Linked DNA regions of Caenorhabditis elegans. The protein of the gene in region 1 purifies or fractionates together with the protein of each later gene. This does not show direct contact. Each region holds a gene or a part of one and is shown on either strand. Other genes may lie near its edges.

What was found. The genes of interacting proteins can lie anywhere in the genome.
Region 2: the proteins of cdc-48.3 (region 1) and rbc-2 fractionate together in Caenorhabditis elegans (co-fractionation; one large-scale study listed by BioGRID). This does not show direct contact.
Region 3: the proteins of cdc-48.3 (region 1) and mrp-7 fractionate together in Caenorhabditis elegans (co-fractionation; one large-scale study listed by BioGRID). This does not show direct contact.

What each region holds. Positions count from the first base shown.
Region 1 is NC_003279.8:8,030,979-8,039,147, forward strand, and holds cdc-48.3 (ATPase family protein 2 homolog), read right to left. Parts: upstream 4,719-8,169; coding exon 4,503-4,718; intron 4,335-4,502; coding exon 3,510-4,334; intron 3,357-3,509; coding exon 2,549-3,356; intron 2,349-2,548; coding exon 2,109-2,348; intron 2,066-2,108; coding exon 1,980-2,065; 3' UTR 1,885-1,979; downstream 1-1,884. Other genes in the region: Alpha/beta hydrolase domain-containing protein aho-3, read left to right, coding at 3-94, 170-921, 1,020-1,174; K04G2.4 (SHSP domain-containing protein), read left to right, coding at 4,991-5,106, 5,157-5,299, 5,357-5,441, 5,618-5,838, 5,886-5,961, 6,011-6,134; ath-1 (palmitoyl-protein hydrolase), read right to left, coding at 6,206-6,253, 6,910-7,074, 7,122-7,416, 7,698-7,932, 8,090-8,169. UniProt on the Caenorhabditis elegans protein: ATP-dependent chaperone which uses the energy provided by ATP hydrolysis to generate mechanical force to disassemble protein complexes.
Region 2 is NC_003281.10:2,524,598-2,532,434, reverse strand, and holds the start of rbc-2 (WD_REPEATS_REGION domain-containing protein), read left to right. Parts: upstream 1-3,745; 5' UTR 3,746-3,755; coding exon of another isoform or gene 3,756-3,785; 5' UTR 3,786-3,806; coding exon 3,807-3,939; intron 3,940-4,001; coding exon 4,002-4,125; intron 4,126-4,175; coding exon 4,176-4,287; intron 4,288-4,344; coding exon 4,345-4,554; intron 4,555-5,767; coding exon 5,768-6,069; intron 6,070-6,900; coding exon 6,901-7,024; intron 7,025-7,604; coding exon 7,605-7,803; intron 7,804-7,837. Other genes in the region: cone-1 (Protein CASP), read right to left, coding at 1,611-1,721, 1,765-1,815; Homeobox protein cut-like ceh-44, read right to left, coding at 1,611-1,721, 1,765-1,815; ndua-8 (NADH dehydrogenase [ubiquinone] 1 alpha subcomplex subunit 8), read right to left, coding at 2,082-2,206, 2,778-2,896, 3,006-3,181, 3,228-3,359.
Region 3 is NC_003283.11:19,670,750-19,678,934, forward strand, and holds the start of mrp-7 (Multidrug resistance protein mrp-7), read left to right. Parts: upstream 1-4,093; 5' UTR 4,094-4,144; coding exon 4,145-4,177; intron 4,178-5,201; coding exon 5,202-5,486; intron 5,487-6,454; coding exon 6,455-6,844; intron 6,845-8,024; coding exon 8,025-8,112; intron 8,113-8,185. Other genes in the region: Y43F8C.11 (G_PROTEIN_RECEP_F1_2 domain-containing protein), read left to right, coding at 434-613. UniProt on the Caenorhabditis elegans protein: Negatively regulates cellular toxicity by mediating the export of environmental toxicants such as methylmercury out of the cell. Plays a role in inhibiting methylmercury-induced dopamine (DA) motor neuron degeneration.

The DNA.
Region 1 (8,169 bases):
AGATGTCGTCAGGAGCACCATCGGGTTCATCAATGTCGAGTACACCTGGATCACCACCACCACGGGCTGGCGGACCAAATAGTGTTTCTTTCAAGTGAGTTTTAGTGGGTGTTTTTCCCATAAATTTAAGTGTTTATAAATTTTTTAAAATAATTTTTCAATTTTTCAGAGATCTCTGCTGCTTATTCTGCTGTCCTCCATTCCCATCATCCATTGTTTCGAAATTGGCATTCATGCCTCCAGAGCCCAGTTATACTATTACTGAAGACAACAAGTTGGTTTTAATCGAAGGACGAGCAGCATGGCCTCATCAGGAAGTCGATATGGCGAATTGTGTCGAAATGAGAATAACGAGAACTCGGAGGCGTAATCGTGTAGCCTGTACAATGATTCGACCACTTCCAAATTCTCATTTCACATTGCTCTTCTCACATGGAAACGCTGTTGATCTTGGACAGATGACATCATTTTTGTATGGTCTTGGATTCCATCTGAATTGTAATGTATTCAGTTATGATTATTCCGGATATGGATGTTCAACGGGAAAACCGTCAGAGAAGAACCTTTACGCAGACATAACCGCCGCTTTTGAGTTGCTAAAATCAGAGTTCGGGGTTCCAAAAGAGAAAATTATTCTTTATGGGCAATCAATAGGCACCGTGCCAAGTGTCGATTTGGCAAGCCGCGAGGATTTGGCGGCACTCGTATTACATTCTCCTCTGATGTCCGGAATGCGTGTCGCTTTTCCCGGAACAACGACAACATGGTGTTGTGACGCGTTTCCATCGATTGAGAAAGTGCCACGTGTCAAATGCCCAACACTGGTGATTCATGGAACAGACGACGAAGTTATTGATTTCTCACATGGTGTATCTATTTACGAAAGATGCCCGACGTCAGTAGAACCACTCTGGGTTCCAGGTACGATATAAGCTTTTTGTAGTTTTCTGATTCGAAATGAAATCGGAAAAATTGTATTTAAAATTGGAATTCTTGTAAATAAAATCTCAAATTTATAGGAGCTGGTCACAATGACGTGGAGCTTCATGCAGCATATCTGGAACGTCTCCGAAGTTTCATCGATATGGAGGCTTCTGCGATTCGTGTTACTGCACCAATTACTAACGCAACGAGTACCAATAGTCGGACGATTTCGAATGGCACATCTTCCTAGTACAACATAATCAATCTCTTATCGTTTTCTGTAAATTCTAGAATCTAAAAGTTCTCATCGTTTTTAACGAAAGGTGATTGAAATTGGAGAAACAATGTGGACAATTTAAATATATCGAGGTGATATTTGTCTTTTTCGAGTTATTTTATTAAAGTTTACCTCCCAAGTTTATTTTAATTTCTAATCTATTGAGATTGAATCCAATTTTCAAACTTATCTCATCTCCCCCGGTTAATTTAACCGCGTAAGCTTCACCTCAATCATAACTTTCCATATTCCAAATATTATATGTCTACTAACTTTCCCCTACCCAATTCGCGTGTTTTGTACGTGTAACAAAATATTTTGTATTCTAACGCAATTTATGATCATCACTCAGCCTATTGGGATTAATGATGTTCATGAAAATGCGGAGAGTACTGTATTTCTCGTCTGTTACCCAAATTCCACACACAAGTTCATCTGCTCCGACGGGACTTTAAATTTTTCTTGTTTAAGCATAATTCCATTTTTCTAGTGTACCCAAAAAATCCCTTCATCCCAAACTTTATCTTTAATTACTGCTCACTTTTAAATTTGTTGTCGTTTTTTTTCTCAAAAACTTTATCTGTAATATGCTTTCATCCAACGAATCAAAACGTTTTGCTAATTTCTCCTATCAAATTGAATTCCATTCTTGTGCAGCTCTAAACTTCGAATCACAATTTGTTCAAAAATAAAATTTGTTTCATTTTTCAACAATCAAAGAAATTCAAAATTCAAGAACAAATCAATTTAACAATAACAATCAGGTAAACAGTTATTTTCATGCGTTCGAAGCTCGACCTGCTTTAAAATCGTCATAAATTTCAAGAAGATACGCTTCAGTTCGGGAAACAACTGCGGCAAGAGCTGAAAATATTTAGTTAATGAATAATTTAATAATATTAATTACCTTGTTCAAAATGCGTCCATTGCACGATTGTAGCATCAATGCTTTCACGCATTGCAAACATTGCAGCAGTTCTACAGACAGCAACAAGTTCTGCACCGGAATATCCTGATGTTTTTTCCACTAGTTTATCAATTGTTCTAACTGTATCATCGAATTTCATTTTTTTAGTTCGCATTTCGAGAATGGCTCTTCGTGTCACTTCACATGGTAATCCGACATAAATAGCACGATCCAGGCGACCTGAAATACAAAAAAAAATATTATTACTCGAACGGGCATTTTTTCCCCAAAACTACAGTAGTAGGTTTCAACACGACAATTTTCTATTAGATACAACCAGGAGTACTGTACTTTCAAATTTTCAGTCGTGCAGTATTTACATCAATTTTTCATAGTTTTGTGTTAAAAAAATATATTTTTTAAACAGACAACCTACTTACCAGGTCTTAAAAGTGCACTATCCAATTGATCAGGCCGATTAGTTGCCGCCAATAATATAACTCTACTTGACTTTTCCAAACCATCTAACTCAGTGAGCAATTGTGCCAAAACTCGATCCGAAACTCCAGAACTTTTTTCCGAACCTCTTGAAGAACCAACTGCATCGATTTCATCAAAGAATACAATAGTTGGAGCAACTTGTCTTGCTCTTGAAAATAAATCTCGAATTGCTTTTTCAGAGTCTCCAACCCATTTACTGAAAAGCTCCGGTCCCTTGACAGCGAGGAAATTCATTTTTGCTTCACTAGCCAGTGCACGTGCTATTAAAGTTTTACTACATCCGGGTGGTCCGTAAAGAAGAATTCCAGCTGGTGGATCAATTCCAAATCTTTCAAAAGCTTCTGGATGTTTTTGAGGCCAAATAACAGCTTGTTGAATTTCTAACTTTAATTCTTCATTTCCTCCAATATCATTCCAAGAAACATTAGGTACTTCTAGAATAAATTGACGAATTCCAGTTGGTCTGATTCGTTTTCTTGCGTCATTTACTCGTTCCAAATGTGTTCTTCCTCTTGCAAATTTCGCCGCTTTCAGTAATGAGCATAAATCTCCGCCAGTGAATCCATGAGTGTGCCGAGCAACATCAAGATGAAGTTCCAATGGGAAATTGTAGATGTTGCCAATTTTCGAAAGAATGTCGAGTCTCTCGTCTTGTGTTGGAACAGTGATTTCTGCTTCAATCGGGAATCTCACACGGAATCCAATGTCAAGAGTTTCGGAAGATCGAACACAAAGAATCACGCATTTCTGTAAAATATTGAATTGTAAAGTTAGAAAAAGGAAATCTATCTATTATAGGGACTCAGAAAAACACATTTAAATTGTCCGTACAGCGCACACGATTTCAAAATGGGCATTTTTCTGTGTCCCTACAATAATATAAAAAATCATTGTTCTTACCTTTTCGTCGCCCAACAAAAAGCTCAATGCTCGATTTGCTTTCGTATTTTCTTTTTCTAGTTCATTAACATCTACAATTACAATGTTTCCAGTTGTTACTCCATTCAATTCCATCAATTCTTCACAGCTACCAATGTAGGTTGTTGATCCAGAAAGAACTAACGCAACTTCTTTCAAAAGAAGTGTCTTTCCACTTCCAGGAAGTCCCCAGATCAAAACTGAACACGGTGACTCTTTTTGACGAACTGGACTGATAACATAATCTTCGAGAACTTGTTTGGCGGTGAAACATCCACCAATATTTGATAAGTCAGTTGGAAGAGTTTGAAGAACATCTGAAGTCGATCCTTCTGCAGAAGCATTCAAAATTTGAATTTTGTAGCCAACAGCTGTAGATACTACTTTCGAATTTCTTTTCTTGTCGTCATCTATTCCCATGGCGCTCATCTTGCTCTCGATTGGTTCTTCTGGGGTTACTGTAACATTTTGACCCAAATATTTCAGATCAACACTGGAATTGTATTGCAGATACGAGTGACTGAGATATGCTTCTAAGAATCCACTGAGAGCCGGATTTAAAGTCAAGGATGTCTTGACTGTGACACTCAGACTTTTGAGTTTTTCAACTCTTCCACAAGACTCCAATGTGATCATTCGTTCCCGTGCAATTCTAGAAGATATTATGGATACTTTGAGAAGTGCAACTTCTTTGCAAGGCCATACTATTCCAATAAAAGAATCAGAAGAATGAATAATTCGAACTGGTTGCCGAGCAAGTAGACCTAGACTTTCCATTGTTTGTTGATTGATTAGAATTGAGTGTTCCTAGAAAAAATGAAGTGGGTCAAAGAATATATGCGATTTTTTTTCATTTTTGCAGCAAAAAATTCAAAAAACTGAAGAGTGATTTTTAGAATTTTAGAAAAACTTACATATGTAAATTTTTACAGCTATATTCGGATTTTTTAAAGTTGTTTTTTGTAAAAATCGAACCTTTTCCCATCCAACAGCGTCTGGGGGTAAAAAACCTTCTGCTTTGTCCACTGCCACATTAAATCCACGTAGCGTTCCGTTTTGAGCGCACGCAATTTCAGATTCTACGACGGGCTTTCCACAGAAGTCTTGATGTCTTAAAGAATCTTTGGTAAGAACAACAGCATTACACTGGGGGCATGTCACGAGACTTGGTTTTTTCTTTGCACTTGACATCTGAAAATAGGAGTTATAGTTTTGGAAATTGCATGCAAACGAAAGCAAAAGAATATAATTTTTTTTTAATTAACGAAGCAAGTAAGTAAGTTCGTGAACCTAAGATTTGTAGTTCAGATAAACTGTGACAGAAACATGTTTCGCGAAGATTCTTTCTTCGAATAAAAAACTTTAGATAAAAAAAGATTCATTTCTGATTTTACTCATATATTCTTCCGCCGACAAAATACCAGGAAATCGTATCGTGTGCAATAAGAGAGAAAGATTCAAGAATGGGCTGTAGTCATAGTAAAAACAAAAACTCAAAGTCCAAATCAGCGATACTGAAGAAAGAGCATCCATTGGAACGATCGATTCATCACAATCGAGTTGCACATTTCGACGAAACGTGAGTTAACTTTTTAATATATTCAGATTATCAATTATTCTATGATTCAGTCAGCCAACAAGTCAATCGACAAGTGTTGAATCAGAAGAACTAAATGTGAAGCATTACTCGAAAACTTTGCTCAACGATACTGTGGAGCCAACTCATCAGAAGACTAGTGCACACGTTCCAGAGAAAAGTATCAAGAAGCAAGGTAAACGGCTTTTGTTGAATGAACAAAGCATCTTATGAAAGTTTTTTTTTATTTCAGAAGTCAAGCAAGAAGTCAAAAAGCATGAAACAACCACAGTCGTTCACACGAATGTACATGTGCCAAAACCTACTCATAAGCTACCGTAATTTTTCATAAATTTGAAGGCGTATTGGATGTTATTTGGATGCAATATTTTGTGATTTTCGCGAGAAAATTATAGTACAGTACCGTAGTTTTCGGGCAGAATAAAAATTTTGCATCTGAATAATATCTTATCGAAACATCCGAACTAACAAAATAATTATTTGAATATTTCAGACAAGCATCTGAAATTCCTATTGAAAGAATGGGATCAGATCCTCATACAGCTATTGCACCTACTTACCAACAAAAACAGTTCGCCACATCTACTTACTACCCAATGCCCACAATTGGAGAAAAACAAAAATCACCAGAAAAAGCAAAACCGGCAAGAAAAGTTGATAATACTGATGAAAAGAAGAGAAAGAAAGATCAGAATGAAAAGCCAGTTATCAATGGTGAGATAATAAATTAATAATAGAAATAAGAATTGGAATCCATTCAGGACCAAATGTTCGTCATCAATTGACTCCAGAAGATTTGGAGTATATCAAACGATCGGTTCAACAAAGAAACGAACGGTATATATTGCAAATAATTTATGACATGAAATAATGAACACATTTACAGACGTGCGTTTATGATGGCTCATCGAAATGAAACAGACGACACGTTGTATGAGCTTGAAGTACGAATGCCGGAAAAGGACTACACAAATCGAATGGAGGTTGGACAGAACTATCGTGTCTGTTGAAAATTGAGAGAAATAAAGTGTGTCTGGTGAAAAAAACTTTAAAAAAATCGTTTTTGGAATGAATTGAATATTTAGTGGGCAATGTGGGCGCTCAAGAAGGTCTTCACATCACGCATCTCCTGAAAATACATTAATATGATTAATATAATTTTGATTATGCATAATATGATGTGTAGTTTGATCTAATAGTTTGAAGTTTTCATTTTGTTTAATTCTTTGTAATTCTTTACCCGAAACGAGGACGTCGAAAATTCGAAAATTTAAAACTTGGAAAAATTTTAGAAAAATACGGAAAAAGACGAGGAAACTATTTATAGATATATCAAAAATATGTAGATTTTTTGGGAATAGAAGAAATGTTATATTTTATTTTTTTGTTTTAATCCTTTTTAATATTTTTCTTTTTCACAAAAAATTTTACATAATTTTGAAAAATCAATGGCTTCCTCGTTTTTTCCGTACAATTTTTCTAACATGTTTCCCAGTTTCTCAATTTATGATTTTTTGATTAAAAAACAGTGAAAAATTAGATTTCTCGATTTTTGAAAAAAAAAAGTTTTTTATTTAAATTTCAGGGCATTTTCATTTTTATAACTTTTTCGAAAATTCGAAATCTGGAAATTATTTTAAAACGTTTTTTTTCCAGAATTCGAGGAATCTAAAGTCGACAATTTTTTTCCTTTTTTTTATATTAAAAAAAAAATATCGTTTTCGATTTTTAAAAAAGGAAAACCGACACTCATGTTCCGAAAATCGTTTTTTAAAAATAAAATACCTCTCCACAGCTCGAATGCTGCATTCCCCTGTAGGTGTGAAGCTCAACTTTCGGATTGAATTTTTTAATATACTGCTCGGACATTTGTCCGAATTGAAGAGGAACCAAAAAGTCGTCTGTTCCATGTCCGAGGAAGATTGGTGTAGCATTGTTCGCAGTGAAGCTCTATAAAAATCAAAAAAAATTTTTTTTTAAATAATTTGAATAATCACCCCTGGGAATTTGGTTCTCTGCAAAAAGAATGAACTGAGTCCAACAATTCCTCCAAGTTTCTGTGGATATGTGAGACCAGCGTAAATAGCGAGAGCTCCACCCATTGAAAATCCACCGACAGCAATTCGAGAAGCTGGAATTCCAGCTGCAACTTCCGCATCAATCAATTGATGAACATATTGGGTAGCTCGATTAATTCCTTGCTCATCTTCCTGAGCATTTGGATCGAGGCCAAATAAGTCGAACCAAGCTGGCATTCGCATTCCCATATTGAGGGTTACTGGACGTTCAGAGCTGAAAAAAGTGAATCTGTTTCAGTGGATAATGGAGGGTGTCGGTTTTTCGATTTTTTGTTTTTACCGATATTTAAAAAGATCGATTTGAAAAATAGCTTGAAATTTTCTATATTTTTCCTCTTTTAAGAAGAAAATTATGTTTTATCTCATCAATATATAACCGAAATTTTATTAAAAAATTTTTTTTGTTAATTTTCTCTTAGTTTTTCGATACTTTTGTTTAATTCTATTATAAATGTACTTTTCTGCTATAATTAATAATTCTGCATTCAAAAGTACCTGTGTGGACAGATAAACTTGATATTATCGTGTTTGGCTTCTGTCTTGAAAGCATCTGCCCAACCATGCCCTTGATCACCGAGTCCATGAAGGAAGATTAATGTTCCTTTATGCTCGCCACGTGGCGACACAATCGAAGGATTTCCGTTGGAGACTGCAGACATTCTTGTCGAATCTTCTTCGTCGGATGGCGGTCCACCAAGTGAACAGAGAAGACGGGAAGAAAGTGATGACCCTGAAGTTTTCTGTGGTTTTTTTCATGAATTTTAGATAAAGAATAAAGAAGTGAGGATCTTTCGAAACGTAGCGCTCTGATTGTCAATGTCCGCGATTAGTATGAAAACATTAAAAGAAAGCAACGACACACAAAACACAAAATAGTTTCAACGAACCTATTATTGAAGCTAGAAAAGTTTTTGGTGAAGAAGAAAATGTGGAATTTGACGAGAAGGGGTGGACAGTCTGTGTAGAG
Region 2 (7,837 bases), on another chromosome or scaffold:
GGCGGCAATCCGAACTGACAAAGTATAGAATTTTGAGAAACTCTATTTATTGTTCGGATTCCAACTCCCAGAATGAGAGGTCAAACTCTACAGGTTTTCATGAATTCGGTGAGAAAAAATGTGTTTCTTCACCAAAAACATTGAAGTTTTTTGCTAAAAAACTTGTAAATTGTCCAAATGTCGAATCATCAAATTGCTGAACACGGGTAGATCAGGGAAAATTGAAGAAAAAATCTGGATATGCTTAGGCCTTTATTTCTGGAGATAACACATAATACGGCAGCCTGGGAGATCTGCGAATTTGGAATTTTTCGAGTTTTTAAAATCTAAAGAAATTGAGATTCTACAAGCGTTTTCCTCTAGTTTCTGCACATTTCTAGATGAAATTTCGAAATCTAGAAAATCTAAAAACTTGAAAAATGCCCTCCAGAGCTATAAATAAATGTGATATATCTATAGGATTAATTTGAAAATGTAAACTAATCTGATGATTTATGAGCTAATACAGACACTACTAGAAATATGTATGTGTGTGTGTGTGTGCATATGCTACCGGCTGGTAATAAACAATATTTTTTACAGGAAAAGTTGAAAAAAATAGACTAGGAAGTAGTACAAAAACCTACATACTATAGAGCAAAAAATAAAAATTACGAAAAAAGGACAGAGCTCATAAGAGAACGAGATAGAAACGATTTGAATGACAGATGGCGAGAGAGAGAGAGAGATTCGACTAATGTTCGATTGATGGTATGACACTTGGCGGGAAAATCAATCGATATTGATCACGATTTTCGAGATATCGATCATTTGAGGAGCACATAATCTTCACTTCATATTGGAGAACCACCGGAATTTACCAAAGTTCAAAAAAATTGACATTTTTTATGTACTAATTCTACATTTTTTGTAGCATTTCCAAAAGTTTTCTAGTAATTCCAAAAAACTACTTATTTATAAATTACACAGATCCAAATTCCAGAGATATCGATTTTTTAAAGAAAATTTGCACCATTATTTTCTAAAGCAAAATAACTGAAAATTACTGAAAAATGAGTATTCCGAGCACATTTTTGCATTTTTTTCAAGAAAAGTTGTATTTAAAAATCGGTGGAAAAAATCCTCACTTATAAATATCGACAGAGCTTGGTCCATTTTTCATTAATTTCGCTGAATTTTTATTCAAATTATGCAGGATTGTTAGCTCAGTTTTCAAGAATTTATACTCGTTTTCTCTGAATTTTCAGCCCAGTGTTCCAAAAGTTCTCCTCATTTTTTTTCTTGTTTTTTAGCAAATTTCTATATATTTTCTCCCCAATGTTGCAGGATTTTCAATCATTTTTTTTCCTAAAATTTCGAGTAATTTTCGCTGAGATTTTTAGCTAATTTTTCCATAAATTCTCAGCATTTTTGCCGAATTTTCAGCCAATTTATCCGGATTTTCTCTGGATTTTAGCCAATTTTTTTTCCATAATTTCTTTCCATTTTTGCCGGATTTTCAGCCATTTTTTCCATAATTTCTCTCTATTTTTGCTGGATTTTCGGCAATTTTCCCATATTTTGATTCGATTTTCACCGGATTTCAGGCCAATTTTTCTCCAATTCTTTACCTTATTAGTTCTGCCTCTATATGCATTACTCTCCTCAACCAATCGTGTTTTACGAATTTCACTGTCATCTTGTCGTTGTCCAAGTGCTGTCACTTCAGCCTCCACTCTTGTCTGAAATTTCAGATTTTTTAAATAATTTTTTTTTCCAAAAAACTTGAATTCGGTCCCAATCTACAGATTCCCATGCTCTTGAGACGATTTCCATAAGGTCTGAAATAAGAAATTAATCGAATTATTTAATCACAGCAAAAAATCACACAATTTGTTAGAAATAGCACACGGATTAAAACCAGAAAGGTTGAAAAAGTGAAAAAAAAAAATTAAAGAAAATCTACATTTTATTCGCTGAAAAAATTTAAATTTTTGGAAAAAAAAACGGGAAAAAACAAGAAAAAAATAGGAGAATTTGGAGAGAACTCTACGGGAAAACGAAGGGTATTTGCAGAAAAACGGCCAATTTTTCAGAGAAATCTAGCTTTCAGTAATATTGTAGCGCCAGTCGTTGTATTTACGGTAGTCTTTGCGAAGATGATAGTCGGCTGGAAGCTCATTGAGCACTTTAGCTGCTTCTGCCTTGTAGTCACGGAGCTTCACCTCTGAAATTGGGGAAAATTGAATTTGCCGCGAAAAATGGGATTTTAAATGAGTTTTTAGTGAGATTTTCGTGAAATTCAGGTGGGAATGATGCCTAAAACTGAAAAAATTGATTTTTTTGACTTGAAATTCGGATTTTTTCCGCAAAATCTATCAAAATTTAACTTAAAATACAATATTTTTTGGATAGAAATTTGAATTTGTCGCTAAAAAATGTCTGAAATTAAGGTTTAAATAGTGATATTTTGGCTCGAAATTTGAAATTATTCCGAAAAATACAAATTTTACCAGTTTTACAAGGCTTTTTTGACTGAAAAAAGGTGAATTTCGTGACTTTTTAGTTTTAAAAAGCTTTAAAATAGTCAAAAAAGCGAAAAATTTAACAAAAAAGTGGTTTTTTTTTCAGGAAAATATGCAAAAACGTTAGAATTTTTCAAGTTTCAGGAGTTTCTGGGAACTTTTCTGAAAAGTTCATACAAAAATTGAGAGAAAAACAGTGGAAGAATTCAGCTAAAATATTGATTTTTTCGCATTTTTAAATTAATTTTATCGTAAATTCTATAATTTCTGTACCTGGAGCCGCGGTGGCCGAGTCATAGACATGAAGTTTGCTGAAGTATCCAAGCTTTGGACGCGTCAAGTTCAAATTAGCTTCCACGCAGGCATCGAGCTCCTTCTGGTCGTCATGGCACCTGAAAATTGAATATTCTACTGCTTTTTCGCTTTTTTTTTCGGAAAAAAATCACGTTAAAATTTTTTAACGGTTTATTTTCGATGAAATTTCATTTTTGGAAAGCTCACTTTGACATGTAAAGCTTGGCACTGCTCTGATCAACACATTCGGCGAGCTTCTGAGTCTGTGGAAGGCAGGAACGCTTCAAAGATTGAAGAAAATTGACTCCACACGCGGTCAGCGCGGCTCCCTCCTTCAAAACGGCACGTGGATCCTCGGCTTCCTTTCGTCGAAGCATGAACTCCTGCAAAAAATCTCAATTTTATCGAAAATTTGGCAGAAAAACCAACATTTGCCTCCTTTTCGCAATGTTTTGCCATATAGGGAGCGATGGATTTGAGCCATGGAGTTGATAAAGTGATTTCCTGAGGAACAGTGAGCTCCTCGTCACTTGGAAAATGCGTATCCTTGGTTATACTCATCGGAAAATGTACCCTGAAATTGGAAAATTGGAAACCAAGCGGAAACTGTTACAGAGAGGGAATTCGGTGATGAAATTTATTATTTTCGATGAGAAAAATTTGAAATTTGATTTTTAAACAAAAAAAAACAAAAAAAAATCGATTGAAAATAGTTTATTTTGATTTTAAATGATAAAATAAAAAATAAAATTTGTTTTGCGCAACGGCTGTTTGCCCGTAAATCCACACAAGTTTAAAGGCGCATGCCATGTTGGCTCTCTTCCCTGCGAGACCCGCGGCATCTCATGTCGATTTACGGGCTATCGAACTTTGCCCTTTTCTTGCTCCGATTAAAGTTTTCTAAAAAAAAAGCTTATTTAATTGAAGAAATTCAGATTTCATTTCAGATTAAATATTATGAAATTATTGTGTAAATTTCTGCTGTAAATCTGAAAATCTAGCTGAAAAATGGTGGAAGTCGCGCCAGCCGGCACAAAATCGCCGGCGCTCTCCGTTCCAGTTGTCATTTGGGGCCCGAAACCGCCGGAAAACAAGATTTGCGCAATTCGTGTGCTTCCTGATGGCGCAACAATTATCACAGGTTAATATTCATCGAATTTTCTAAACAATAAAACAAAAAATCTGAAATTTCGAAATTTTCAGGCGCTGAAAATGGCCACATTATTATTTGGAAGCTAGCAGAAGGACTTATGCCAAAGCAGCTAATGATTGGACATTCTCAAAAGATTACAGCAATCTCTCAGACAACAAATACACCGACAAATACGTTAGTAACGCAGGATTTGGAAAAAATCGATAATTTCCGAAAAATTCCAGACGTTTTGTCTCAGCTTCAGCCGACGGACGTGTATGCCTCTGGGAGATTCAAGATGGACGGTGCATTGATTCAACATCTTCTATTGCAATTCACAGATATATTTATCCATACGTAGGCGCTGGAAAATCGATTTTTAGCCGAAAAAACCGAGAATTTTTTTGATTTCAGACGTATAAATCGTCCCGTCACACGAGAGCAACTCGTCTTTTCTGTATTGGAGATTATAGTGATATTCAAGTAATGGATCCACAAGATTTGACAGTTGTATTCTCAATTTCTTCAAGAGTTGAACCGGATTGGATAAGCTGTTTTACAATTATTAGTCATCCGGAAAAGGAGGATCAGTTGATTGGAATGACTCTGAGTGGAATGATGAAGGTGTGGAATTAATGGAAAATCGATTAAAAAGCGAAAAAATTAATTTTTTTCAGCCAAAAATCACCGAAAAACATTAAAAAATATCATATTTTCGCGGAAAAATTGCATTTTTAAATGTTTTAATGTGAAAATACAAATTTTCTAGAAAAAATCTTCAATTTTATGTAGAAATGGAAAAAAAAATCGCGATACCCTGATTCAAGCTTATTTTTGAACGAAATTTGGTGGTTTTGAGCAAAAAATTGTAATTTTTGCCCAAAAATTTGGATTTTAAAAGTTTTTTATTAATAATTTCGATTTTTCAAACTTGTAAAACGACAATTTCCGTGAAATTTTCAAATTTTTTTCACTTAAAAATCACAGTTTTTGGAATTTTTTCTCCAGAAAGCCAATTTTCTACTTAATTTGGAAGATTTTTTGTATAGCCTTTAGATTAAAAAAGCTGATTTTAAAGCTATTTTTAAGAAAAAAAAAATTAATTTTTACGACTTTTGACGTTGATTTTGGTGTAAAAATGTATAAATCTATTGAAAAAATGTCATTTTGGACAGTTTTCGAGTGGAAAATTGAATTTTTGAAGCTTAAAAAAAAATTTTTAACTAAAAAAAACACAATTTCCGTGAGAATTTCAAATTTTCAGTTTATAAGCTCTTTTTATGATGCAAAATATCGATTTTAGGCCGTTTCTTATCAATTTTAATGCAAAAATAGTCATTTTCAAGCTCTAAAACCACATTTTTCCAGTTGAAAAGCTCGAAAAATTGAATTTTTATAGCTATTGCAGTTGATTTTTGTGTAAAACATGTATAAATTCGTCCAAAATATGACATTTTAAACGGTTTTTCGAGTAGAAAATAGAATTTTCGAAGCTTTTTTCCCTGTTAAAAGGCAATTTCCGTGACATTTCTAATGTAAATTTTCAATTTTTGACTGAAAAAAGCGAATTTTTGAACAATTCACACAATGTAAAGTGTTCTTAACGCAAAAATCTCGTTTTTAAATAGATTTTTACTTGTAAAATGACAATTACCATAAGATTTTCACATTTAAATTTTCACATTTAAAAATTCTAATTTTTGGTTTAAAAAGCTATTTTTAATGCTAAAACGGAAAAATTTAAATTTTTCCGAGGTAAAAAATTGATTTTAGATAATTTTAGACCAATTTTAACGCGAAAATAGCCATTTTCAAGCTCTAAAACCCCATTTTCCAGGTGTGGACGCTCACAGAACTGGAGAAAAAGGACCCAGCAACATCTCTATATGAAGATGAATCAAAACGACTAGAAATTCAACATATTCGAAGTGTTTCATATATTTGTTCAACAAGAAGAATGCTTTTAATAATTGCATCGACATGTTGGATGATTATTGATATGGATGATCTTTCAACAGTAGTTTTTCATAAAAATGAAATAACTACGAAACGTTGTGTGGCTGGATATCTTACGGATTTGGATAAAGTTACAATTGGATATACTGATGAATCAATTCATGTATTTCAATTGCCTATCGAGTGAGAAAATTCCGGAAATTTTTATTGGAAAATACCGGAAAAATCGAATTTTTCAGCTAAAAACACATGAAAATCAACAAAAAATCACAAAAACGAATAATTTTCTTTGATAAAATTATCAATAATCTAAAGAAATTTGAAATTTTCCTGGAAAAAGCATACAATTTGCGAAATACCCTAATTTTCTAGCGTGTAATCAAAAAAAATTGACAAAAATCGAAAAATTTTTGTTTAAAAAATTAAGTAGTTTTGCACTATTTCGATAGATTTTCGTATATATAATTATTGATTTAAACAACAAAAAATGAAACAAAAAATCCGCTTTTCCACGAAAAACAGATTATTTGCAGAAAAACTATATCTTTTAATGAAAAATTGACAAAAATTGAGCCAAAATATCCAAAACGCACATTCTGACGAATTTTCTCATAGAAATTGCTTATCGAGTGAAAAATCCCGGGAAAAATCGACTTTTTCGGCAAAAATTGAGTTAAAATCGCTTATTTTCAATTAAAAATATGCAAAAAAAATAATTAAAAAAAAGATAATTGATTTTTTTGGAAAAAATAAAAAATAAATAAATAGCTTAAAATCACGAATTTTTGTTGAAAAAATTTGAACATTTCCCACAAATTTGACATATTTTTGCCTAAAAATTCAAGATTTCAACGCTAAAAAGTTGAATTTTCTTGAAAAAATTCTCTTGAAAAATTTTTTTTTTTCGACTTTAGCATTCAAATTAATCTAAAATATAGTAAAATAGTATAAAAATGGTGAAATTTACTATAAAATTCAAAAATTTCAAAAAATAATAAAAATTTCAAATTCCAGAAGTCTCCAAAAAGAAGGAGTACCGCCAGTTGTTGCAAATAATCGTCCAACCTCAAATTATTTCGATCAGCCGAATCCCTTCATTGTGGCCACTGTAAATGGTGTTCAGGAGCACTCGAGATCTGTAAGAGCTCCGTGTCGATTTACGCAGCTCGTGTGTACTCCCCGAGGAGAAGAAGAAATTTCCTGATTTCAGGCCATTTTTCACTGATTTTTTCACTTTTAAAATTAAAAAAAAAATCGCCGTGGTTACTGTGAAAAACCATGAATTTATGTTGATTTTGGCTCTAAAAAGGCAATTTTTGTCTAAAATTCTCAATTTTTAGTATTTTTTAACATTAAAATCGCCCATTTATCGAATTTTACTTCAAAAAACTATTAAATTAGCAAACCTTGACGATTTGAAACCGAAAGTGATAAATAATGACAGAAAATTCTAGATCTCTAATTTAATAGTGTTTATTGCTATAAACTGGAGATTTGAATACCAAAAAAAAAAGCGCCAAAAATTGCATTTTAAGCTGAAAATCGAGAAAATTCATTGATTTTCCCAAAAATCTCTACAAAAAATTGTGAAAATTGCATAAATCAAGAATGTTCAGCTCAAAAACTGTAAAGTCTTGTCCTCGGGGAGTACACGAGCCGCGTAAAGCGATTTTCCAGCTTAAAAGCCCGAAAATTCTCAATTTTCCCAAAATTTTCAGTGCCTAAACGACGTTCAATTTGCATTTCTACCATATAATTCTTCAAATTCCCTGGAATCTTCATCATCTTCATACGAAAAACGTCGTTTCTCAGTTGTACGAAGTTCAAGAAGAGATGGAAGTGTACTTGTATGGAATATGCCACCATTTGATCATCAATTCATGAAAGCTGTGCCAGCTATCAGGAATTTGCCATTTAGTACGGGCGATTTTTGATCTAAAAATAGAAAAAA
Region 3 (8,185 bases), on another chromosome or scaffold:
ATTGGTTGTGCCCAAAATTTGCAAATTTGAAAAACAATTTAAGTCTAAAGTCTCCCATAACTTGGTTGAAAGTGGTCCAAAGTGAAAAAGAAGTAACTTTTTGAATTTCCCGCAAATTCTGATTCTAGAGAACCTGTTTCCTTCCTCTAAGCCATCAAATTTGAAAAATTGCCCTGACGGCTCAACTGGATAGAGGGATGGTTTTGGCGCACAGGACCAGGGTTCGAACCCCACTGGGGGAAAGTACTTTTTGAAGCATTGAAACTTACCAAGAAACGTTTTAAAGCTGAAAAATCCTTGTTTTTGAAAAATTTTTGAAAATTGCAACTTATGGCTCAACTGGGTAGAGGGATGACCATGACTCACAAGACCTGGGTTCGAGTCCCTGCGCGGCCAAATCTTTTTTTCTGACTTTTTACAACGACTTTTTCAGTATCTCCTGGGCATCTCGATCTTCCTGCTGATCCTCAACATCGTCACCATCGCCTTCTACAATCGCCGCCACGTCATCAAATTCTACCGTACCCGCTTCCAACCGATTCCCCACTCGGAAACCGCTTCATCAGTTTTTCGTGGAGCTTTTGATCACGACGCTTTTGATATGAAGGGATGATTTTTTATTTTGAAAAAAAATTGTTTTTTGAAAAATAAAAAAATTCGTTAAAAAATTTCAAAATGTTTAAAATCTCGTCGACATCACTGTTGAGCCGTTTTCCCGTTGCTTTTTGCATCTAAAAATTGTAAAATTTCCAGATTTTCCTTAGCTTTTCTTATTTTCTCCGCAGAAATTCTTCTCGCAATTTTGTGCAGCTGACCAGCAGCCTCCACGGGGAGCTTATGCACATGAGCTCGGTTGTGAAGAACCTGAAAACTTTCAGAGCCTTACAGGATGTATAGAAAAAACTATCGACGCTAGCTGGGGGTCGAACCAGGGTCTTCAGAGTGCAAGGCATCCCTCTACCCAGCTACGCCATATAAACAATATTTTCAAAACTGATGGCTCGGGGCCAGGTTAAAATGTTTTTCGGGGCTAAAATTTGGCGGAGAATTCAAAAAACTTATCAAAATTCTTTTTGGGGAGTATTCAGAAAAAATACGGGACATTTTTTATTCAAAATTTTTAAAAAATGGGTCAAATCGATGTAAAATTTTACGCTGGTCATTTTTCCAGTAAAAAGTTTTCCGATATCTCTATTCTCCGCGGAGATACAAGCTTGCAAAGTTAGGGCGGCGAGAGAGCAGTGGAGGGGGAGAGACGCAGGCGGCGAGCCTGTCTGCGCTCTCCCCCTCCCCCACACTCTCTGCACGCGGTATCTTCAAACCGTCGTATCTCAGCAGAGAGTGGGGATATCAAAAAATTTCCAATTGGTAAGTTGTTCAGCATGAAATTTTGCTTCATGTGAATAGATTTATTCAATTTTAAATTATTTTTTTATGTTTGTTGTTTTTTTTTTCAAATCAAACATCCATCAACTGTTGAGTTCGTTTCCAATATCTTCATTTCTGATAAATCTTTTGCTTTTTTTCTTCTTATCACTTCCACTACTATTTGTAATGCTTTTCAGGGTCTTCTCTCAGCAGAAGCCCCTGAACTATTTCGCAATTCTCATCAAAAATTTCGTTTTCAATCAATTTTCCACGAATTTTTCAATTTTTTTTTCCAATACAAAGTCAGACACACGAATCACATAAAAATGTGATTATCCGTGTCTAGAAAAGTATTTAAGTACGATTTTGAGCATTTTTTGTCTGAAAAAAGTGATGATAACGGGTTGATGAGGGGAATTATCTATCACTTTTCACTCATTTTTTGTCATCATTTTTCTATTATTACAACCTGAAACCCTGCCGTTTTCTCTGCGTCTCTCTCTCTATCAGTAGTGGCTCCCCATCCCAGGCCGTACTCCAGGTGCATGTGTGTTCTTCTGGCGTTGAACTCTACACTTTTTGACTAAATTATGTCTTTTCAGTGTTTGTGATCAACCTGTAGTTCAGTTTCAATTGGAAGAGTTCGAGAGATCAAAAATTTAATTGAAATTTTGAATTTCCCGCCAAAAAAGACTAAAAATTTGAATTTTTTTGGAACTTCCCGCCAAAAATTTACTGAAAATTTGAATTTCCCTCTTGAAAATTGACTCAAAATTTGAATTTTCCGCTGAAAATTGACTGAAATTTTGAATTTTGGAACTTCCGGCCAAAAATTGACTGAAAATTTGAATTTCCCGCCAAATATTGACTGAAAATTTGAATATCTTGCTGAAAATCCCGCGGTGTCAAACTGTCCCATTTTGGCGTGTGATCTACAAAAAATGCGGGAATTTCTTGCAGAGAAAAATGTGACGTCAGCACACGCTCTTAACCATACAAAATCTGTTGAGAAATCCGCGTCTAAATTCCCGCATTTTTGGTAGATCACACCGAAACGGGACACTTTGACACCACATGAAAATTTTAAATTCTCCGCCGAAAATATTCTGACTGTCTTGAATATTTCCTAGCAAAAAACTTCTTTTTTTTTTCTTAATTTCTGGGCAATTCTAATAAATTTTTGAAAAAAAACTGGGCGATTTCATGGATTTTTAACTTAAAAATTCAATTTTTGAACATTTTTCCCTTGAAAAACGCTTATATTGCTTAAAATTAGCTGAAACTTCAGTATTTCCAGACCCAATTTAGAATACTTTCGGTAAAATTGTCGTCAATTGGTGCGCGTTGTCCGCAAACACCGTCACGTCAGAATGCACAGAAACGAAAAAAAATGTTTTTTTTCGGCGGTTTTTTTCAAATTTTAAATTTATTTCCGCTCATTTTTCGTCATTTTTTCGAATTTTTGTTCAGATTTTCATCAAAATTTCTTAATTTTCTAGTTTCCCGCCATATCTGCGCCAGAAAAAGTCAAGTTTTACCCATTTTTTCGAAGAAAATTGCTGATAACGCTCTCTTATCAGCCGATAAAATTCAAAATACACGCGGAAATGATGACAAAATACGATGATTTTTGGGTTTCCCGCCTCTCTGACGATGGAAAATTTGCATAAATATATTTAAATCCCCGCCGGGAAGGCATTTTCCCGATTTTCTCCAGGGTTTATAGTTTTCACCAGTGGAATTTCGGTTCATTCGAACCTTTTTTGGCTTTTTTAAATGTTTTAATTTGAAAAATCGCTGAAAAAATCGATTTTCAGTGTATTTTCTCGCTGAACAACTTGAAAATCGAATTTTTTGAGTAAAATTTACAGTTTTTTACTCCACAAATCTTGAAAAACCCTTTTAAAACTAGATTTTTCGGTGGATTTTCAACTTTTTTTGCGATTTTTAATGTTAAAAAGTAGCCGAGACGAATTTTTTCTTTTCCAAATTTGCCGACTTTGTCAAAAACCTTCAAAAAACCGGCAAAGTCGGCAAATTTGCCAGAAACTCGAAAAACGGCAAATTTGCCGAAAATGCCGGAATATTTTATATTTGGAAAACTCGTCAAAGTTGCCGGTTAAAGAACGGCAAATTTGCATTTTCGGAAATTTTGCCGATTTGTCAAAAAAAATGGCGGAAATTGTTGGACAAATAGTATTGTGCCGATTTGCCGGAATTTTTATTTCTGGCAAATTGCCAAATTTGCCGAAACTATTTATTTTTAGTCAAATTCGGCAAATCGGCAAATTGCCGGACCGGCAAAAAACCGGTTTTCGCCGAATTCGCCAAAATGTTGAAAAACGGCAAAATTGCCGATTTGCCGAAATTTGAATTTTCAGTCAATTTTTGGCGGGAAATTCAAATTTTCTGTCAATTTTTGGCGGGAAATTCAAATTTTCTGTCAATTTTTGGCGGGAAATTCAAATTTTCAGTCAATTCCAGCGCTGAACATTGCTCAATTTCCTTTTATTTTCCGAATTTTTGTCAAAAAAAAAGCGTGAAAAAACGCTCAAAATTAACAACTTTCCAGACCACTTTTACAGCTTTACCCCCTTAAAAAATCCGAAAATTCCCATTTTTTACTGAAAAAATCTCGGATTTTCAGCAATTTTTCAGCGTATTTTCTCGTTCAAAAAGCTTTGTGTTACCATAGAAACGTTCAATTTTTCCTTTTTTTTTGTTCAGAAATAAACCTGCGAGCGACCTCATACTCAACACAAACTCCAAAAATTAGATGCTTTCCTCGTTTTGTGGCGACGGCCATCCGGTATTGATTTTTTTTTGTTTGAAAATTGGAATTTGAAAAATGGCAAAAAAAAAATCAGAAAGTTTTTTTTTTGAAAAAAATTTTTCCGAAAAAAAAAATAAAAATTTGCGCTTTTTTTGAGGAATTTTCATGGAATTTATCGATTTGCTAAAAAAAACAAAAAAAATCACTAAAAATATTGTAAAAATATTCCAGAAATCCAGAAAAAAGGCCAAATAGTATACAAAATATAATAATTTTTCGAAAAACTTCAAAAATTTCACCAAAAAAAAATCTGAAAACAATTAGATAAAAGTCACAAAAAATTAGCCTGTTTTTGATAAATCACAAAAATTTTCCAAAAAAAAATTAACAAAAAATTACGATTTTCTGGTTAAAAAAATCCAAAAAATAGCTAGAAATTTATTTCAAAATGAAATTCTTTTTTTCAATATTCCAATTTTTTGAAAAAAATATTTCAGAAAAAATTAGAAGAATTTCCAAAAAAATCCAAACTTTTTCAAGAAAAAAATTCCAAAAAAATTACGATTTTCTCGCGAAAAATCCTTTAAAAAATCACAAAAATACATTTAAAATTTACAAAAAAATCACTACGTTTTCGAAAAAAAACTCACAATTTTAGAATAAAAAATTTAAAAAAAAATTTTTTCTGGTAATAAAATCCAAAAAAAAATCAAAAAAAAATTCTGAAAAAGCCATAAAAAATTCAAAAATTTTCCAAAAAAATTGTATTAATTTTAGAAAAAAATCACAAAAATTTTCCAAAATAATTAACAAAAATTAAAAATAAAACCAATAAAATTACGATTTTCTGGTTTTAAAAAAATCCAAAAAAAAAAAACAAATAAAAAAAATTTCAGAAAAAAATCACAAAACTTTCCAAAAGAAATTTTTTTTTTAATTAAAAAAATTTTTCGAAAAAATCACAAAGCAAAATTAGAAAAATCATTTAAAAAAAAAAATTACGATTTTCTGGTGAAAAAATCCAAAAAAAAATCGTAAAAAATTCAATTTTTTTTTGCAGTTCTCAACGGGTCTACCGAACGTCTCAATATGTGCTCAACACACGGTGCTCGTCTGGGTTCCAGCCGCATTCTTCCTGCTCACTTTACCATTTCTAAGTGCTCAGTGTCATTTGACGGCTCAACGATTCGCGAGGCTTCCGTTCAGTGCTCATTTCATTATTAAGCTTCTTCTTGTCGCTTTTCTCGCTGCCAACTCACTTGCCACGTGGTGTTATGTGTTATTCTCGAAGAATTCATACGCTGCTGCGTATTATGTTTATCCAGGACTATGGGTTCTTGTTTGGGTACGGTTTTGGATGTGGAAATTTGAATTTCCCGCCAAAAATTGACTGAAAATTCAAATTTCGGCAAATCGGCAATTTTGCCGTTTTTCAACATTTTGGCGAATTCGGCGAAAACCGGTTTTTTGCCGGTCCGGCAATTTGCCGATTTGCCGAATTTGACTAAAAATAAATAGTTTCGGCAAATTTGGCAATTTGCCAGAAAAAAAAAATTCCGGCAAATCGGCACAATACTATTTGTCCAATTTCCGCCATTTTTTTCACAAACCGGAAAAAAAGAAAAAATTAGAAAAAAAGAAAAAAAAAAAAAAATTCCGGCAAAAATGTCATTTTTCAAATTTCCGGCAAATCAGGTTTTTAGCGGGGAATTCAAATTTCCTATCAATTTTTGGCGGGAAAGTGACTTAAAATTTGAATTTCCCGCTGAAATTTCAAGCAAAAAAATTATTACACGTTCGTCAATCAGTAGTGGTTCAAAAATTTTACGAATGTATAATAAGAAATTTTTTTCGGATTTTCAAATCTGAAATTTGAATTTGCAAAATTCAAAAAAAATTACAAAATTCGCAAATTCAAAGTTCATAAGAATTTAGGCTCCGCCCATTTTTTTTCTGAAAAATTCAAAAAATTTTTGATATTATGCATTTGCCAAAATAATACCAACCTCACCGGGGTACTGTAGAATAGACCCCGCCCACTTTTTGCTGAATTTTCTCTTGAAAATTGTCCGAAAAAGAATTTGTTTGAAAATCCGAAAAAAAAGTCTTATTACACATTCGAAAAATTTTTGAAACGCTACTGATTGACGACCGTGTAATAATAATTCTTGATTTGCCGAAATTTGAATTTTCAGTCAATTTTTGGCGGGAAATTCAAATTTTCAGTCAATTTTTGCCGGGAAATTCAAATTTTCTGTCAATTTTTGGCGGGAAATTTAAATTTCCACTCTAATCCCGTTACCTATTTTACAGACGGGTACCTTCCTAGTTCATCTCATTCGTCTTCGTTGTGGTCTCGTATCATCTGGAATTCAACACGTCACTTCATTAATCTTTTTGCTCTGCGGTGCTCCAGAATTCTATCAATGGATTCGAATGGAAAATTCGAATTCCTTCCCGAATGATCTCACCACCACCGACTCCGCCCAATTTTTATCGATTGCCTATTTAAGTTGGTATTCGGCACTGATTCTCTACACTTTTTCACTGTGTTTTGCTGATCCGCGAGGAGCTAAAACTGATGATGAAAAAGCGTCGTCGAAAAGTGCAGCATCACCGGAGCTGCAGAGCTCATTCTTGAATCGGCTCACACTGTGGTGGTTCAATAGTATCCCGTGGACAGGAGCCAGGAGGGATTTGGAGGTGCTACAAAATTTTAGGCCAAAAAAAAAAACGCTTTTTTAGGATGAAAATGAGCCATTTTAAGCCAAAATCTGCAAAGTTTGACCCTTTTTAAGCTGAAATTGGATGAAATTAAGTCGTGAAATTAAGGCTGAATGGCTGAATTCGGGACTTTTTCCCCGAATTTCGGAATTTTAGAGCTTGAATTAGGCCATTTTATGCTTAGATTCTGGCCTTCTTAGCTTGAATGAATAAGGTCACTTTGAGCTTAAATTAAGCCATTTTGAGGTTTAATTAGGACATTTTGAGCTTAGACAAGCCCATTTTTAGAATTAATTTAGTCCATGTTCAAGCTTAAGTTAGGCTGTTTTAAGCTTAAATTAGGCCATCTTTAGGTTATTTTAGGGTATTTCGACTTTAAAATGATTGAATTTAAGCCCAAATTAGGCCATTAGGTAGATTAAATTAGTCCATTTTGAGCTTAAATTAAGCAACTTTGAGATAAAATTAGGTCGTTTTAAGCTAAAATTAGTCCATTTTCAAGCTTAAATTATGCCATTTTCAAGCATAAATAAGCCCATTTTGAGCTTAAATTTGGGGGATTTTGAGATTAGATTAGGTCATTTTAAGCTTAAAAAAGCCCATTTCGCGTTTTAATTAGGCCATTTTAAGCGTAAATAGGACCGTTTTTCGACCTTAAATTATATCGATTTAGGCTTAAATTAGTCTTTTTTAAGCTAAAAAAGATCTTGTTAAGCTTGAATTAGCCCATTTTCAAGCTTAAATTAATCCATTTTCAGGCTTAATTTAGTTTATTTTCAAGCATAAATTAGGCTTTTTTATGCTTAAATTAAGCCATTTTGAGGCTTAAATTAGGCCTTTTAAGCCTATATTAAGCCATTTTATGCTTAAATTAGACCTTCTTAAGCTTGAATGAGGCCATTTTCAAGCTTAAATTAAGCCATTTTGAGGTTTAATTAGGCCTAAATTAGTCCATTTTCAAGCATAAATTAGGGCGTTTTATGCTTACATCAGACCTTCTCAAGCTTGAGCATAAGCTCATTTTCAAGCTAAACTTAGTCGTTGAAATTAGCCCATTTTGTCTTTAAGTTAGGCCTATTTAAGCTTAATTTAGTCCATTTTCAATCTTCAAATTAGGCCGTTTTACGCTTAAATCATCACATTACGCCAATTTTTCCAGATCGACGACATTTTCGAGCTTAACGAACGAAGTGGAACAGAATTTCTCAGCGAACTTTGGGAATCGTTTTGGGAGCCCAAGAGACTTAGTAAGTGCGATGGAGCGCACTTTCTGACAAACGGGAGATTTGAATTTTTTTTAGTTTTTTCGTGAAAAAATCC